Linked DNA regions of Alligator mississippiensis. The protein of the gene in region 2 purifies or fractionates together with the protein of the main gene of each other region. This does not show direct contact. Links are inferred from orthologs where the notes say so. Each region holds a gene or a part of one and is shown on either strand. Other genes may lie near its edges.

What was found.
Region 1: the proteins of TMPRSS6 (region 2) and HJV purify together in Homo sapiens (co-immunoprecipitation; 3 studies listed by IntAct). This does not show direct contact. The link is inferred for Alligator mississippiensis from reciprocal best matches to the Homo sapiens genes TMPRSS6 and HJV.

The regions. Positions count from the first base shown.
Region 1 is NC_081838.1:17,970,165-17,974,076, forward strand, and holds the start of HJV (hemojuvelin), read right to left. Parts: upstream 2,966-3,912; 5' UTR 2,726-2,965; intron 961-2,725; exon of another isoform or gene 692-960; intron 1-691. UniProt on the Homo sapiens protein: Acts as a bone morphogenetic protein (BMP) coreceptor. Through enhancement of BMP signaling regulates hepcidin (HAMP) expression and regulates iron homeostasis.
Region 2 is NC_081827.1:100,544,696-100,548,607, reverse strand, and holds the start of TMPRSS6 (transmembrane protease serine 6), read right to left. Parts: upstream 3,049-3,912; 5' UTR 2,657-3,048; intron 650-2,656; coding exon 496-649; intron 290-495; coding exon 147-289; intron 1-146. UniProt on the Homo sapiens protein: Membrane-bound serine protease. Through the cleavage of cell surface hemojuvelin (HJV), a regulator of the expression of the iron absorption-regulating hormone hepicidin/HAMP, plays a role in iron homeostasis.

The DNA.
Region 1 (3,912 bases), on a different chromosome or scaffold from region 2:
AGAGGTGGGTTATCAAGTCCAGCTCCTGTCCTCAAGAAGGTGACGGCAGGAAAATCTCAGCTTCCATAAACCAGGTTTCCAAAGCTGTCTAGAAAACACAGCTGAAAACGAGACCCCTCAAAAAATCCCAAACCAGAATGCAAAGAAGCCTCTTGGAAAAGGTTTGATTAAAAAAAAAATCCATAAATTCTAAGCAGATCTCATGATTTTTCACAAGTAATAACATAAAAGACTAAAACACCAGCTCCTATCTGTTCCCCTGCCTTTGCAGACAATGCAAATCTCCAGTCCTGCCTGAAAACCAGCCTGTTTGGAGAGGAGACAGATTGCAGGCCCCCTCGTTAAACCCAAGCAAGACGGATTAATTAACAAGTCCACCTGTGAAAGAGATAAGCAGCTCTGCCAAAAGCATGCAGTGGGGTTTGCTTTGCAAAGAGCATGCCTCAAATTGCTGGAGTCTGGCTTGGCCTCAGAGAAGCAGCAAACTGCTGCTGGCAGAGTGTCTTTTCCTATCAGCTTTGGAGAGAAGAGTTACTTTCCCACTGCTAAATGCAGAGAAAGGTCTGCATCCCTGGCACTAAGCCCCTTCCTTCCATCCATCCATCCATCCCTCCATCCATCCATCCATCCATCCTCCCTGCCTTCTTTCTTTCCTTCCATAAATCCATCCACCCAGCCCCTCATGCCTTACCTGAGCCTTCCAAGGGAAAGAGAAGCAGGTGGAGGGAGAGACCACATAGCTTTAATTCCTCCACCCAGGAGCAACTGTTACTCAGTCCCTGGATACCATAATTCACCCAAAAGGGGCTCAGATACCATAAACTCAATAAAATTGCAGCTCCTGCTTTTTTGGGTGGAATCAAGACCTGACCCCTCCTTGTGAACTGCAAGAGCCTTCTTTGCAGCTCCCATCAGGCTCCCCACTCCTCCCCGCTCTATCTGCCCCTCTCCTGAGTCCCGAGGGCATCGTGTCATGGCCTCGGGGTTGGTTTTTCCCATGAGGCTCCACCCCGGCCAGGGCTTGGACTTGGACTGCAGGGGATGAGCACCATCTGTTGGAAACCAGCTGCCAGCTGTGCCAGGGCATGGATGCCCCACGTGGGAATGTGTTACAGGGAGGGCAGAAGTGGGGGCAGCTGAACATTCTTCCCAGAAGAGCAGAAGGTCCCATCCGGGCCCCACAAAGGGGTTTGGATAGGGAACTATTCAGACCTTTCAAACAGACCCCCTTATGGGAACCCCTGACTTTAACCTCTTAACCACTGCTCTTCTGCAGCAGGTCCCCCCCAGCCATCACATGGGTCACGCAGAGCCATCACGCAGGTCACGGAGCGAATTTGCCAGCTCCCATAATCAGGAATGTGCTGCCAGGCCCACAAGGCCGTCTGGAGCCTTAACAAGGGGACTTGCAGCAGATGTAACCAGGCGTTAGGTGGGATGCATGCGTTCAGCGCACAGAGGCTGGGAATTTTGCAGGCTGGAGTTGGCAGGACACGGCAGAGCTGCAGTTTGGAAGGAGGAGGAGGAAGCAGAGAAGACAGCTGTGCTGGCACAACCTCCAGCCCCTCCGGATCCATTCGGAGCCTGGGTTCAAAGGACCTGGGATCATCTCTGCTTCCTGGCCCTGCCTAGAAATGCCACGGCTCTGGCACTGCTGTGTCATCCCTGCCGCGGGCCAGTAGGGCAGAGGGAGACCTTAAAAAAGAGGTGATGGGGAACAGGGAGAAAAAGATCCAGACGGTCCTGGAGGTTTGGTTGGATCCCAAACAGATATACCCCCTTCCCTTCTCTATGCCAGTCTAGTACCAAACCCCAAGTGGAGGAGTTCTGCTCTAATTAAAGCCCGGCTGATTAATCCTCTCCTGCCAGAGCCATGACATGGATGGGGTAACAGTGACTCTCCAAAAGCAGATGAGATGCCAGGGTTCTGGTTTAGTGATGATTCATCCTATGAGGACACCTCTGAGGCACTGGCACATGAATCTCAGCCCTAGGTTGTGCCTGGGGGATGATGCAGTGCGTTCAGCCAGGCCTGGACCACACAGAGCATGGTCCAGGTTTTACCAAAGGTGCAGCTTTATAGCTGCTTAGTTGGTTCGGTGCAACACTATGCATGGACAGGTAGGGCTTCAAGGTCCATCTCATCTGACCCCCCACCCAAGACAGGATCATCAGCTGGGGTCATCTAAACCCAGCACTCTTTCCTGCCTATGCAGGGGGTCGGACTCGATGATCTATTGAGGTCCCTTCCGACCCTAGCATCTATGCATCTATAAATCCCTGTCCGCACCCTCCCAGGCAGTTTGTCCAGCCTCCCCGGCAATTCCACCAGCCCTAATTCAACTAAAGTGATCTGATTTAAATCTTTGTGCAGACAGGCTCGGCCTGCCTTGCTGGTTCCCCTAGGAAACCCTTCACCATCCTGCAAGAAGATGCTCAAGAGAGGACGAGGTCCAGAGCAGCGGACATGGGGATGGAAGTCCATGGGCTGAGCCATGCAGGGTGCTAGGACTGGGATAGTCAGGATTAATGGGGAAGCCAGGATTGATGCAGTACAAGGACAGAGGCAAAGCCCCCAGAGCCGGGTGGAACAGCAGCAAGGGGAACTGCAGTGGCAGCTCCAGACTGTGATGCACTAGCAAAGGCTGGAGGAGTGCTGGCATAGCAAACCTCAACTGCTCGCCCTCTGAAGAGAAAACCCAAAGGAGCCAGAGCTCATGCTTACCTTGGTGAACCTCAGCCCTGCCATTTGTGCTGCTCTGGTCCCGACTTCCCGGTCTCACCTGCCAGCTAGAAGCATTGGTGGAAGGAGACAGGAGAGAAAAAAAAAAGGGAACCGAGTCTGCTAACGCCGGGGGACTGGCTATGGTGCGAGCCGAAAACAGCTGAACTTTACGACAACCTGATCCGTCCCTGGGAGCCCAACAGAAGCTCTAAGTTACCACTTTAAAAATAGCCAGCAGTATTTTTGATCCCTAAAGCAGGATTCCAGGGGGGGAGGCTGGAGACTCCAGAGGGCCGAGGACGTTCTGGTTTACACCCGCTTTCTTGTCTGAAAACTTAGAGACCCCCCAGGTGATGCTGGTGAGACCTCGTCAGGATCTGACAGCCCTGCTCACGCCTGACTGCACTGGACCTCTCCTTGCTCTCTTCTTAGGGCGATGGATTTGGGGCTCCCCACGCCCCGGAGCTGAGTTTCTGCAGCCGAGAAGATGATCGGTCTTTAAACCAACTCAGTGGATCTACGAAAAGCAGCCAAGCCGGGAAGGGCTTGGGCAGAATCCAGGTTTCAACAACTCCCAGCGCTGGTTTTGGCACAGGAAGGATCAAGATATATGTTGCCACAATGGGTCTCGTGCCCAGAGGCCTGTGTCTTGTCCTGCTTCTTGGAGGGTCCACCTGGGTGGACGTGGAGGGCAGCTCTGGGCACCTCCTAGAGTGCACAAACCCCCTTGGAGAAGCTGGGGTGCTTTCTCTTCTACATCAGAAGCTGCAGGGGCTTCAGGGGATGGCTTCAGTGGTTCAGGGAAGCCACGGACTCCCCGTCCCAGCTCTGCAACGGGAAGTTCTGGAGAACATCAGGACACCTCTGCGTCTCACTGCCTCCTCCTCCTTCCTTCAATCCTCCCAGCCCAGGGGCCCATCTCGAGTGGAAAAGAGGGTGTTAGGAGTGTAGACATGAGAGACCCAGACTCCTCTTTGCATTTCCACTCCAGATGTGGGGAGAGCTGAAATCCTCTGGGCTGCATCCCTGGGGACAGCAGACGCAGGAAGCTGTTAATCCAGCTGTCCCATTGCCCCCCACCCGTAACCCACTCCTACGTGAGGGTGGGGGGCAGATTTTCACAGAAAAGCTCCCGAAAGGCCAGAGTACAGATAAATCAATAGACAGAAGCACCTGCTCCGGGGTGA
Region 2 (3,912 bases):
CCTGGCTATGATACGACCCAGTAGTTCTGCCTTCTCTGCTTGTGGTATAATCCCGGCAAAAACTTAATCTGCATGAGTGCCTGTGACCCATAATCCCACTCCCTGAATTGCCTCAGGGGCAACCCTACTCATGAAACCATTCCCACCATCTTCTGTTGCTTGGCTGATTCAGTCCAGAAGGCTCTGGATTCCAGCCGTCCAAGGTCCAGCGAGTACTGGCGATTGAGGATCCGGAGGCTACCAGAGTAGAACTGCAGGATGGTTGGTTCCAGAAACCGTGGTCTGTAGTCTGCCAACAGATGACACAGATAGATTAGCCTGTGAATGTGGAGTCTAGTGAGGCACTGGTGTTTGTGTTTGTATACAGGGGATGGGGTGGTGGTCATCCACTGCTGTATGTCCAGAAGTCACTGACTCCCTTAGGACTGGATGTGGACCAGTTCCATCCTTGCCAGCCCATATCAGCCCCAGTGTAGAAAGCAAATCACCCATTACCTACAAAATACCAGGTCAGCACTCCAGCTCCAGCCAGAAGAACAAGGACAATCCAGAGAGGTGCATAGCGCAGGCAGTCCTGTGTCCTCCTCTTAGGTTCATCCTCAGATGGGGTTTTCACATCCTCCTGCTCTTTGGCCTCCATCATGGCCATCTAACGAAGCAGAAAACCAATGATCAGGCCAGCTCTTCTATATGCCACTTGCTCATTACCAGCAAGCCTTCTATCATCTATTATGTGCCTCTTCACTTATCTATGCATTCCCTTGTTGTTTACCTGCAAATACCAGAGACCTTGCCCCATGCTTTCACAAGTAAAACTACTCCCAAAATCCAGTTAGAGTTCATCCAGTTTTTGCTGAGGCAGGGACTGAGTTAGGCCTTTAGGATCTTGCCCTGTAAATACATTCCCTAAATATCTAATATCTTAATCTTTTGAGGCTTCCCTAGCCTAGCTAGGTGTTCTCCCCAAATGTCACTGAATGCACCAGCATCACCTCTGCTGAGATCACAGTGCTCCAGATCTTGCTCCCTTCATTCCATGCCCAGCTCCTAACTGAAAGGTGCATTGACTATGGAGAGCGCTATCACCCCATGGGCAGTAAGAACTGAGAGAATCCAAACCACTCCAAGCCAGACTTCCTGCTGCCTTGGCAAAAGTCAACTAAAATAGGCTGGTGATTTTTATACTCTCATCACACAGGTGAAAATGATGCCACAAGGTCCCTGGACTGGGAGAATCTGACTTAAAAACTCTATTCCAAAGGATTAATCGGACTGATACTTAACTGTGACAACTGTCCCTGTGGCTCATCTATAAGAAACATATTGCTCATTACAGGAAGATCCTGCTTTTAAAGTTAGTCTGGATATAAGATCGTAAATTCATGTTATGCTACATAAATCCAAGGTGAGAGTCAGGATGCTGGATTCTATTCCCATCTTTTGGTATTGGCTTGCCTATTAATGCTTCCCTGACTTGTCCCCTTCTCTAGTTATTTCATCTCATACTGATCTGTACTGTAACAAACTAGGGCCTTGCTTCCCCACCACAGTTATCCTGCTTTAATTATACTTTTATCATTATACATGTTTGTGTTCAGGTTAAGGTGTTAGACCACCAGGCCAGGAATAGCTTTAAGAGTTAAGTTCTATTAGAGGAGGTATCTGAACACACACCCACACACTCACAGCTTGCACAACCCTGTTACTGCTGGAAAGGTGCCCAGACGACACAATTCAGTGACACCTGACCACAGCTCCCTCAGAGCTAGGTCAGGCAAAGGAAGTAATATAACCATATTAACACAGTGCTGAGCCCTGGTTAATTAACTCTGCTGAGATCTCCATGTGGTGTTGCTCAGTCCCATGTATGTCCTTTCAGAGCACTCCAGTTTCTGCTACTGCAATCACACCCAGCCTCTCCAGTTCTTTCCCCTTTGGCCTCCTCAGCTGACCTTCAATCTGTAAAGGGACAGGTAAATATAACCCTGTCATTCCATATTACAAACTCAACAGGGGTAGTGGGCTCCAGCTGCTTTTGTATGGGACCTCAGAGCTATAACCCACTCAGGATATGACTGTGGCAAGGGGTAAATGCCCAAAGGCAATTGAGTCCTTTGTCTTCCTCACTGTCCTGCTGACCAACATCTTCTGATTGCCCTTAATCACAATTCAACAACAAATGGTCCATCTTCCTCCTGTCTGCTCCCTTTCCTGCAAGCTTCATGGTCCTCAGGTAAGACGTGCCATAACCTAACAAGATGGACTGCCACCTTGATGACCTACCGACACTCATGCCTGAGTGTATGTGTGGTAGTTTCCAGTCTATGAAAATGCTTACATGAGGATATGCCTCCTAGAGGACATGTTATCCCAAGCATTTATTTGATAATGCATGCACCTGAGTGTTTCCATGACTGTGAATGTATGAAGAGTGCCAGACAGTGTGTGAGAGGAAAACACGTGCTTGAATCCTCAGGTATTCATGCCTGTGGATCCATGTACAGTGGTCTGTGCTCGTATGTGTGCATGGATGTGTGTGAGTACCAGCCAGCCTTCTCTCTTCACCTGGTGCTGTGGCCCACCTCATATACCCACCCACCTGCCCACCCCTCAGTATAGAGACACATGAACACAGCGTAAAAATTAAGCAACTCACCAGAAATGTCGAACACAACCAAAGATGGCACAGAAATGCACGATGAATCCTTTAGCACTACCACATCCTGTCTCCTGCATGCACAGTTGAAATGGAAAGCACTGGTTTCCTTCTTTTGCTTCTCCGTGGTCACCTTTCATTCCCCATCTGGGTTCCCTCTCCCAAAGTGGGAGGGAACAGGTGAGGGTCTTTAGTCCACCTTCAAGGGTTCCCTTCAAAACAACAGCAGCAAAAAGGAACTACAAACCAAGCAGAAAAAAGCCTCCCTTTGTTAGATTAATTCTAGACACTGGGGTTTCCCCCCAGAGCTACAGACCTACCTTTGAAACATGCAGCTCTGTGTGTGACTGGCTACACACTCACGCACAGACATATCAAATGACATGTATTTACTCAGGCCAAGGCCTCCTCAGTGATCAATAATCTGACGCCATGTTCTTGCATTTTGGCCTTTGCCCCGTCTGGTCATACATAGAGTATTCAATGCGCTCGGGAGAGCTGTAGCTTTTTCTGATGGAGAAGGAGGAGGAATCCCATCCAAGGGAGACTGGCAAAAAGGGACAGTGTGCATGGATGGTGGTATAAACAGCCAGGATAAGAGCACTTCTCCACCTACCTGAGAAGGTCACCTGGGAAGGCAAGTGCAGGTGGATTGCTGTTTCCTCCTCGAGGGACCACTAGTTGCTCAGCAACTTCTTTCTCTCTTAGTTACACTCATTGGTCCCACTAGAGGGAAAGGAAAAATGGCACAGAGATAAAATGACTTGGGCAGGTGAAAGGTGTGTGTACATGCATATAAGTAGGCTTTTCTGAGGGCAGTGGGTGCCTTTGAGGAGGAAGGGAGAGAGGTGATGAAAAGACTAAAGAGACAAGCTGGGACAGATACAGCATTGTCCAAACTAATATCCCTGATAACGACTATGCACAGCTCTGCCAATGGCCTCAGTCCTGACCTGCTAGGCTCCTTTTCACAGCAGTTTTGAGCTCTTTCTCTTTTTGGCCAGAAGTCCTAATCCTGTCCCCCTAAGTGCATGCTACTGATCCAGTCTCAGGCTCCCACACAACTCTGTCAATGCCCTTTACTCCTGATCTGCGACCCCCTGCTTATAAGTCACCTCACCAGGCTCCTGTATAGCTGCATACATGTAACTCTTAAAAAAAAAAAAAAGCAACTATGCTTCAACCAGGACAAAGTAAACAGAATAATCTCATTGATAATCATTAGTGGAAATTACCTTTTAGAAAACAGGTATTAT